Linked DNA regions of Caenorhabditis elegans. The protein of the gene in region 2 interacts with the protein of the main gene of each other region in a pairwise test. Each region holds a gene or a part of one and is shown on either strand. Other genes may lie near its edges. The genes, in order: ZK899.5 and mrpl-24.

What was found.
Region 1: the proteins of mrpl-24 (region 2) and ZK899.5 interact in a two-hybrid assay, tested with the Caenorhabditis elegans proteins (one large-scale study listed by BioGRID).

The regions. Positions count from the first base shown.
Region 1 is NC_003284.9:9,459,256-9,462,792, forward strand, and holds ZK899.5 (C2H2-type domain-containing protein), read right to left. Parts: upstream 1,680-3,537; 5' UTR 1,679-1,679; coding exon 1,594-1,678; intron 1,547-1,593; coding exon 1,440-1,546; intron 1,391-1,439; coding exon 656-1,390; downstream 1-655.
Region 2 is NC_003279.8:5,504,708-5,509,091, forward strand, and holds mrpl-24 (Large ribosomal subunit protein uL24m), read right to left. Parts: upstream 2,317-4,384; coding exon 2,189-2,316; intron 2,136-2,188; coding exon 2,007-2,135; intron 1,947-2,006; coding exon 1,790-1,946; intron 1,744-1,789; coding exon 1,664-1,743; intron 1,613-1,663; coding exon 1,532-1,612; intron 1,151-1,531; coding exon 1,029-1,150; intron 982-1,028; coding exon 842-981; 3' UTR 684-841; downstream 1-683. Other genes in the region: putative MFS-type transporter C09D4.1, read left to right, coding at 213-271, 322-375; zipt-11 (Zinc transporter ZIP11), read right to left, coding at 2,732-2,977, 3,023-3,181, 3,229-3,379, 3,960-4,073, 4,121-4,295, 4,342-4,384.

The DNA.
Region 1 (3,537 bases), on a different chromosome or scaffold from region 2:
GATCAATTGCCCCAATCAGTACGCCAAGTGCTCCCGTTGCCGATTTGGATTAAAAATATATCATTCAGCTGTGTTTTATTACTTACTTGAACATGAATAATAAAATTCAAAACAACAATACATTTCAAAAAAAAATAGGTGCAATAATTAGTTGATGTTTCTTTGGATTAGTTGAATAAAATTAGGTAGAATTGTCAGCAGTTTTCCTGTTTGTTCCTCTCTTGCAAATTATACACAGTATAATTGGAAAGTTATATTTGTTATATCCTCCTTTTTTCCAAACAATGCATTGAACAATCTGAATTTACTGACACAAACCAAAAAAAAGAGGATTGGAAAAAAAGGTTGTTGTGACATGTCTCTTGCCTCGGTCTATAGTTTTTGAAAACATTTTAATTAAAAGAAATCAAGTTAATTTCATTTTATGAGACTTTATTGGATAATTGAGATGAGAACTATAAAGCAGGGAAAATCAAGAAAAACATTTCGTCGATGAGATCAATGAGTGAACAAATTAGATGAGTGAACAAATTAGAATTGGTACAAAAATGAAACAAAAAAATCAGAAAAGTATTTTTCCGAGCTATTTCGAAATTATTAAATATCTATCAGTTTAGCAATAGATAGTTGTGAAAATTAATCAAGTTTCAATGTTTTAGATGGCTTCAACATCAACCATTTCCTCGTCATATTCAAACGACTCTTCATTAAGATCCTCATCAGCAGCGTAACCAATCTCCATACTTTGATTATTGATATCTTCTCCGTCGTCCAACTCATCAGAATCATACTCATCCCAATCAGATTCCTCCACCTGTCCATCCTCTGAAACATCGGAAGTTTCTGTGTCAGTAGCGTCTTCCATGTGATCAATGCTTCTGGACATTCTTTTAGTTGGGAAAGAGTAGACAATACTTCCAGTTCTTTCATCTTTCTGTTTCTTGATCAAATAACGAACAAAGACGACATCAATCATATTCGAAACGTCAATCATGTAATCCTGGTACTTTTCAATGAAGTACTCCGAGAGTTCATCGAAATGAAGATCAGGTCCAACAGGCTCCAAATTTGGGATAACTCCTTCGGGCAATGGCTGCTTTAGATCCTCTCTAATTTGAATGATGCGCTCATCAGTTTCAAAGTACTGGAAGAGATTACAGAGACTATCATATGAAGTAAGCATGTTTCCAAATAGAGCTTTTGAATTTTGAATGAACGTTGAGTACTCGGATTTGTAGTTCGTGCATTGTTTGGAATGAATAATCACTTCGGCTTCTTCGTTGAAACGTTCCATACACATTCCACACTTCTTGCACTCAGATGCTTCATACAATTCAGAAACACGTTGAGTCATCATTAAAAGACGATTTCCGTGCATGTGCATGTGATACTGAAAGTAGAAAACAATTGAATTTTAATTTTACAAAGATTTGACTTACATTCAAATCGCGTTTTGCGTTTTCGAGACATTCATCAATATGCTGAATAAATGGGATTTCCGAATCGAACTTTGAACTGCAATCTGAGCACTGTAACTTGTGGATATCTGAAGAAACGCTATTAGTCAAGAAATTGGATTAGGTTGTAGCTTACTCAAGAAACTGCGACAAGTGTTGATGTTTATTGGAGTTCTCCAAATGTCGAAAATTCTGTGAGGAATGCTAGTGACGGGAGTCATTCTGAAAATTGTCAAATTAGGGCTGAAATTAGGATTTTAAACAATATTATGAATAAAAGAAACAGATACTAATACAACAAACAAACAGAAAACTTTTAAAAAAAAGTCAATTATTTGGAACAATGATTAAACTGTTTCAGATCACAACCTGACATTCCAAAACGAGTGAATGAGGAATAACTGACTATATTGGTTTACACAAACTGGTAGGCTCCACCCTTTTACCAGCAATATATTGGTATCGATTGTTCATTTTAGCGTCCCATATCGTCTCATAGAGCATCACATTGCCACATACTGGATCACGATGTGGGAAATTTCACATGGTAGTCTACCAACAAACAGATTTACGGTAATTGTAAATGGGGAAAATGAATTATAGAAATACAGAACGGAGTATCTAATCGGCTACATGTCATATTGACACTTTGTCTTCCGAAATGACGATACTTTCAAAACCTACTACTGTACTATAAGAAACTTGTTAATGTACCAAGAAAGACAATGAAGACAATCAAATAAATAAAACACAAGGGAGGGATTATGGGTATTTTGTTTTGCATGATTGGATAATCGAGTAAGGATCTGTATTAGAGTTAGTTTGCGACATATATATATATATATATATATTTTATCAATAAAAAGGTAAAACTGATATGGCATATTGAAGCATGTATTGAACCTCTAAGTGTTCAAAGGAAAGCTTACGTATAATCAGCAAAAATGAACATTAATCGAAGGTTCACGCGATTCACATTTGCATTTCATGATTTTTCTTAAAGATTCTAAGATACATGTTATAATGAGATTTTGGCGTCAAAAATGCTCATTTAAAAAAATCCTATTTACATGTCCGTGTTTGTGAAAAAACTACTTGAATAGATTTAAACACAAATACACTTTTTAGTACATTTGCAATAATTAAACAAAATTTGAAGATGAATATCACATATAATTAAATATATTCGCTATCTGTGTTTCCAGAGCACAACTATTGTTTTCAAATCTCGCGTAACTCATTTCTAATTGAAGTCAGACTAAAAGTGTTCTTTCTCGTTGATGTATACTTTTTTATCGATAAATTAAGTAACTATTTGTTGTAAATGCGCAATTTTTTTTGAGAAAACATCAGTTTTTGTCACGAATTGATTGGTAATATTTTCTGATCGAAGTAGGTACAAATCACTTTTGACTTTGATTGAAACCCATTTTTTATAAGACAAAACCGGCAATTGCCGAAGTTGCCGATTGCCGGGAATTTTGAAAACCGGCAATTGCGGGAATTGCCGATTGCCGGAAATCAGAATTGCCGGAAATGTAAAGTTGATACTTCTTTGTAGATTTACGAGCCTAAAGAGGCATTTCAATGAACAATTTTCTCTTTTCAAGCTCGAAATGTTTTAATCCTACAATGATTTACCATTTTATTTAAGAAAATGACTGATCGAATACTATAAAACACTGTGAACATTTTCACTTTCCAAAATATAATTAGGTTTGAAAATTGCCGAAAATGTCCGGCAATCGGCAATTTCGGCAATTTCGGCAATTGCCAAAATTGTCCGATTGCCGCGCAGCCCTGGTTGAGAGGACACTTTCTTGGTAGACAAAGTTTATTCTTTATTTTTTTGGAAACAGTTTTTCAGAAGATAAAACCCTTACGAAAAATAGAAAAGTGAAAAGCAGAAACAGTTATTTTTCAAGAAAACGGCGGGGAACAATTTGAACAGTCAAATAAAATCTCCGATTTTTTTTTCTTTATTGATTTGCGTTTGTTCAAATGATTTTAGTTATAATTTTATAATTTTAATTCGTATCTTTACCTAAGGATCCTTACAACCTGATTCCGAGAAACAAGT
Region 2 (4,384 bases):
ATTTTGGCAGTATTTAAGATTACCAAAAAATAATTTTTTACCACAGATAATTCTGAAACCTGCCAAACATTGATAGAAAATCATTTTTGCACTTCCGTGGGTTCTAGATAATGTAATTTATTTTTAGTTTTTCGGTTTTTTAAACAGAAAAACCTAAAGCGAGAACGGCAATAAAGCTTCAAGATTTTTTTTTTCAATTTTCTGCTTTTCAGGTTTCATCCGAGAAGATCTGAAACGTCAGAAAGCGCATTCAGTTCAATGCACCATACCAGTAAGCTAATTTCTCTTCAAACTCTTTTTGAAAAAAACAACTATTTTCAGACATCGGAAACCCAATTGACAAGCTGTACACTTCAGCAAAATGAGCACTTTTAATATTTGTATTTTGAAACACACAAAAACTTGAATTTAAAAAAATAAAAACTCAGCAAATAGATGATCCCCTCATTCCTTGAAAATCTCTGAAATATATTGCGCGCTTTATTTGTTTTTTTTTTCCGAATTTCTCCTCAAAACTGCGTTTGTTGTGACATAATAATAATGAAATAGAGCACAATGTTCGGTGTTTTTTTCTATATTTTTATTCCTATTGTTTCTGTTTGAAAACTAGATTCCCATCTCATTTTCTGTGAAAGTATAATCCCGTTTGTTTAGTCTTTAGTTGTTTTTCTCACTCAATGAATTTTTATTTTCTTTAAATTTTATTTTTTTCCAAAACGAGATCGAATGATTATAATAAAAACAACATTGTATCTATTTAGATTTCTAAAAAAAAAACGAAAAATTAAACGAAGAGCCTATTCTAAAATAACAAAATACAGAAGAAAAAAAAAAGGAAAAATTAGTACCAGAAAGTAGGTTTTGGAGTTCTTTCCTCCTTGATTCCCATTTCTTCCATAATTTCCTGCTCGAAGCTCGCAACTTTTGGCATGTAGGTTCTTTCAAGTACAGCATCAGCTGGTGTATCTTTTCCTTCGACTTCTAAAATTGAAATGAGTTAAACATTTTAAAAACTTTCAGAAACATACCAATATAATTTTCTGGCTGTAGATATTCATATGTAACTTTAGCTTGAGATGGAATTGGGATTTCATATCCACTTCTTGTTGATACTCGAATATACTCATCACCAGGACCGTTTAATTGCCATCTGAAATTCATGAAATGTATCGTAAGGATTTTAGCTTCCTTTTTTCGAAAAATTCCATAAATTACCAATTTTGCTATTCAAACGAATAGATTAGACCAAGGATGCTAATTCCTTCATTTTTGATTTACTGCATTTTTCTTTGGAAAAATTTTTGATTTATGAAAAGACGAAGATGTTTAAAACTTTTGAGATGATTATGGGAAAAATTTTTTTTTAACTGAAAAGAGATATCATATCGTTGGAACCTTTTTTTTGAGAATTGTTAATCCCTATAAATTTGGAAATTGCAACATTTTTTTTCTGAAAATTTTTGTGCCATCTAGATATAATTTTTCTTGTTTTTCTGCAAAAAATGTCTTCCGAATTTCTGGGTTAGACTACCTTGCTTCACATGGCTGTTCATCATTCGGATCGACCAGCATCACTTGTTTCTTCGACACTGACAACGGTTGCTCTTGCCACCTGTATTAATTTGAAAATTAATTGCAAGTTCCCACGAGATTTCTTCCTAACCTGAGTGTTTTATCAACTCCTAACTTCTCACTACCCTCCATGTCCTCACCGAGCTTTGTGTGCAAGCCATCAACGATCACCTATAACAAAAAATAAACTTTTGGGGTAACAAGACACAATTCTAACATCACTGGAGTCTCTGCTAGTGGTTAGCACAAGTCCTTGCCGTCCTTTGTCTTTTCCGACCATCACTTGTACAAGATCTCCCGGGAAGAAAGTCCACTCTGTATCGGCCATTCGTTCGGATTTTGGGCGACGAAGATTGAAGTATTGGTTGGAAAGTCTGCAAAAATACATAATTCAGAACGGAAAATAAACTTCCAAAACCGATTTTTTCACTCACTGAGCCGAGAAATATTTGTCCGATCTATGTAGATGAGAAGAAATCTGTTTGTCTTCCCAAGGACGGCGATGTGATGGAACATAGTCATCTGGATGAACATAGTACATTTTGATATCTGGAGCTCCGAACCTAAAAAGCTACAATTTGTAAGAGAATTGCTGGAAAAAAATTCAGCAACTTACCTATCTCCAAAAACTTTTCTCGGAACAGTTCGCTTTGTTCGTTCAACATAAGCAGAAGGCATATGCCTTGCGTAATCAAGATCCACAAATGGTTTACGTGGAATTCGAAGTGCACGAGAAGTAAGCATCTGGAATTATGACTTGGAATATGACAAGAAAAACACTTGAAAGTATTCAAAAGTTGTTAAACTTTGAATTCCAAAAAAACATAAACTATCCGTTTCGAAAATCAAAATTCCGTTTTATGTACACATTTGGGAAAATATTGCATTTTGGTGGAGAGGGTGCAAAACAAAATAAGTTAAAAATTTCAGAAATGATGAATTATGCAGGGGCAAAAGAATACCGTTAATAAGAGTTATTATGAAGAGGGGAAAGGAATGCGTGGCACATTGAAGATTTCGAATCCGGTAAAAAAATGCGTAATACGAAGAGAAATTATCACAGAAAATGGTAAAATTTTGGAATAAAAATGAAGTTTTTCACAGAAAACATTATGAACTCGCAAATTGTTGTAATGGGGTTGTGAACAAGTTTCCGAGTTTAACCCAATCCAACATCCATGCACATCATCACGAGGAATCCAATGATACATCCAAGGGATGCCAGCTTTCCATTTCCATTTCTTTGTGCTTCTGGGATAATATCATCGACAACCACGTAGATCATGGCTCCAGCCGCAAACGCCAGGGCATATGGAAGCACAGGTTCCATAAAAATTACAGCAGCAGCTCCGAATAGAGCAGCAATCGGCTCAACCATTCCAGATAGTTGACCATACCAGAATGCCTAAAATTGATTAACTTGTTTTATTTCCAAAATTCGATATCTCACTTTCAGCTTAGAATGACCGAATGCTGCAAGTGGGAGTGAAACGGCAAGTCCTTCTGGGAAATTCTGAAGACCAATTCCAATAGCTAAATTGAATGCCGATTCAAAAGTCGCTTGTTTTGTTTTTCCTGCTGATCCGAATCCGACACCAACGGCGAGACCCTGAAAATTAGATATGATAAAAATTGTTTAAAAAGGTTGAAAAATACCTCAGGAATATTGTGAACGGTTACAGCTAAAATTAGCAAAAGAATCCGCCTCCATGATTGACGGTAATCTTCTTCTGGAATCACATCAGGACGCTTATCGGATCCCATATCAACAGATCGATCCCTTTCTCGATGTTCTTCATTTACTGATCTGAAATGTCACAAAATATAATTAAATTTCGAAGAAAACATAGGGTGAGGAGTTTGATCCGATTTCTTTGTTAAGTGTTAGTATAACCGAATATTTTTAAAAAAAGCGAAAAAAGAAGAAAATCAGAAAAATAGATTCGAAACGACGTGTTTGAAGTGATTTTTATTGAAATTTCCAAGACTTCTCGTGATGACATGCATCTTTCAGAGTGCACAAGTACCCCAAGGTGCGATTAATAAAGTGAAACAGAAAATGGAACGGACAGTTTAACAATTAATTTAATTAATTGAACGTACACAGTTTGGATAGATTTCCGGTCTTACCACGAGAAGTCAGGAAAACAAGAACAAAAATAAAAGTTGACGCGTCATTTCTCACCTATTATTTTCTGATTTTCCGGCTGATTTCCGGTGTCGTTGTCGAAGTTCTCCTCCGGATTCACTGGTTGATCTAGAGTAGAACGATGGCTAATTTATGGCAAAACTATGAAAGGGTACACACGAATGAAAACCACACGTACAGTTACACAAATTTAGAAGTGGAAATTATTCCGAGCGTCTGTAGAAGAATTAGGACTTACCGCGCCAGAGCTGCAACATCAAGATCCTCGCGAGCCTGCATCAGTGACATCTCGGTTTCAGATCGACGTGTTGGTGGAGAGAGAAGTGATGTCATTCCAGCATCTCCGACACATCTTTAAAAATTTAGAAAGTGTAATTTAGTTCATTTAGTTTAGCTTACGATGGCAAAAGTGTGTCAGCCAAGTGAACAAATCCTGCTCCAACGGCGAAACCAATAGCAACAGGTACAAATGCCCATTTTTCAAAATCTGCTTCCGCGATTTCTATAGCTGGCGCGAGAAGGGACCAGAATGAGGCAGCAGTCATTACTCCTGCGGCAAATCCCAGGGAAATGTCTACAGAAGTTTTGTTTCAAAAATCAGCTTCAATTTCAACTTTTACCTAACAACTTTTTACTCTGATGACGCATAATAAATACAAGAGA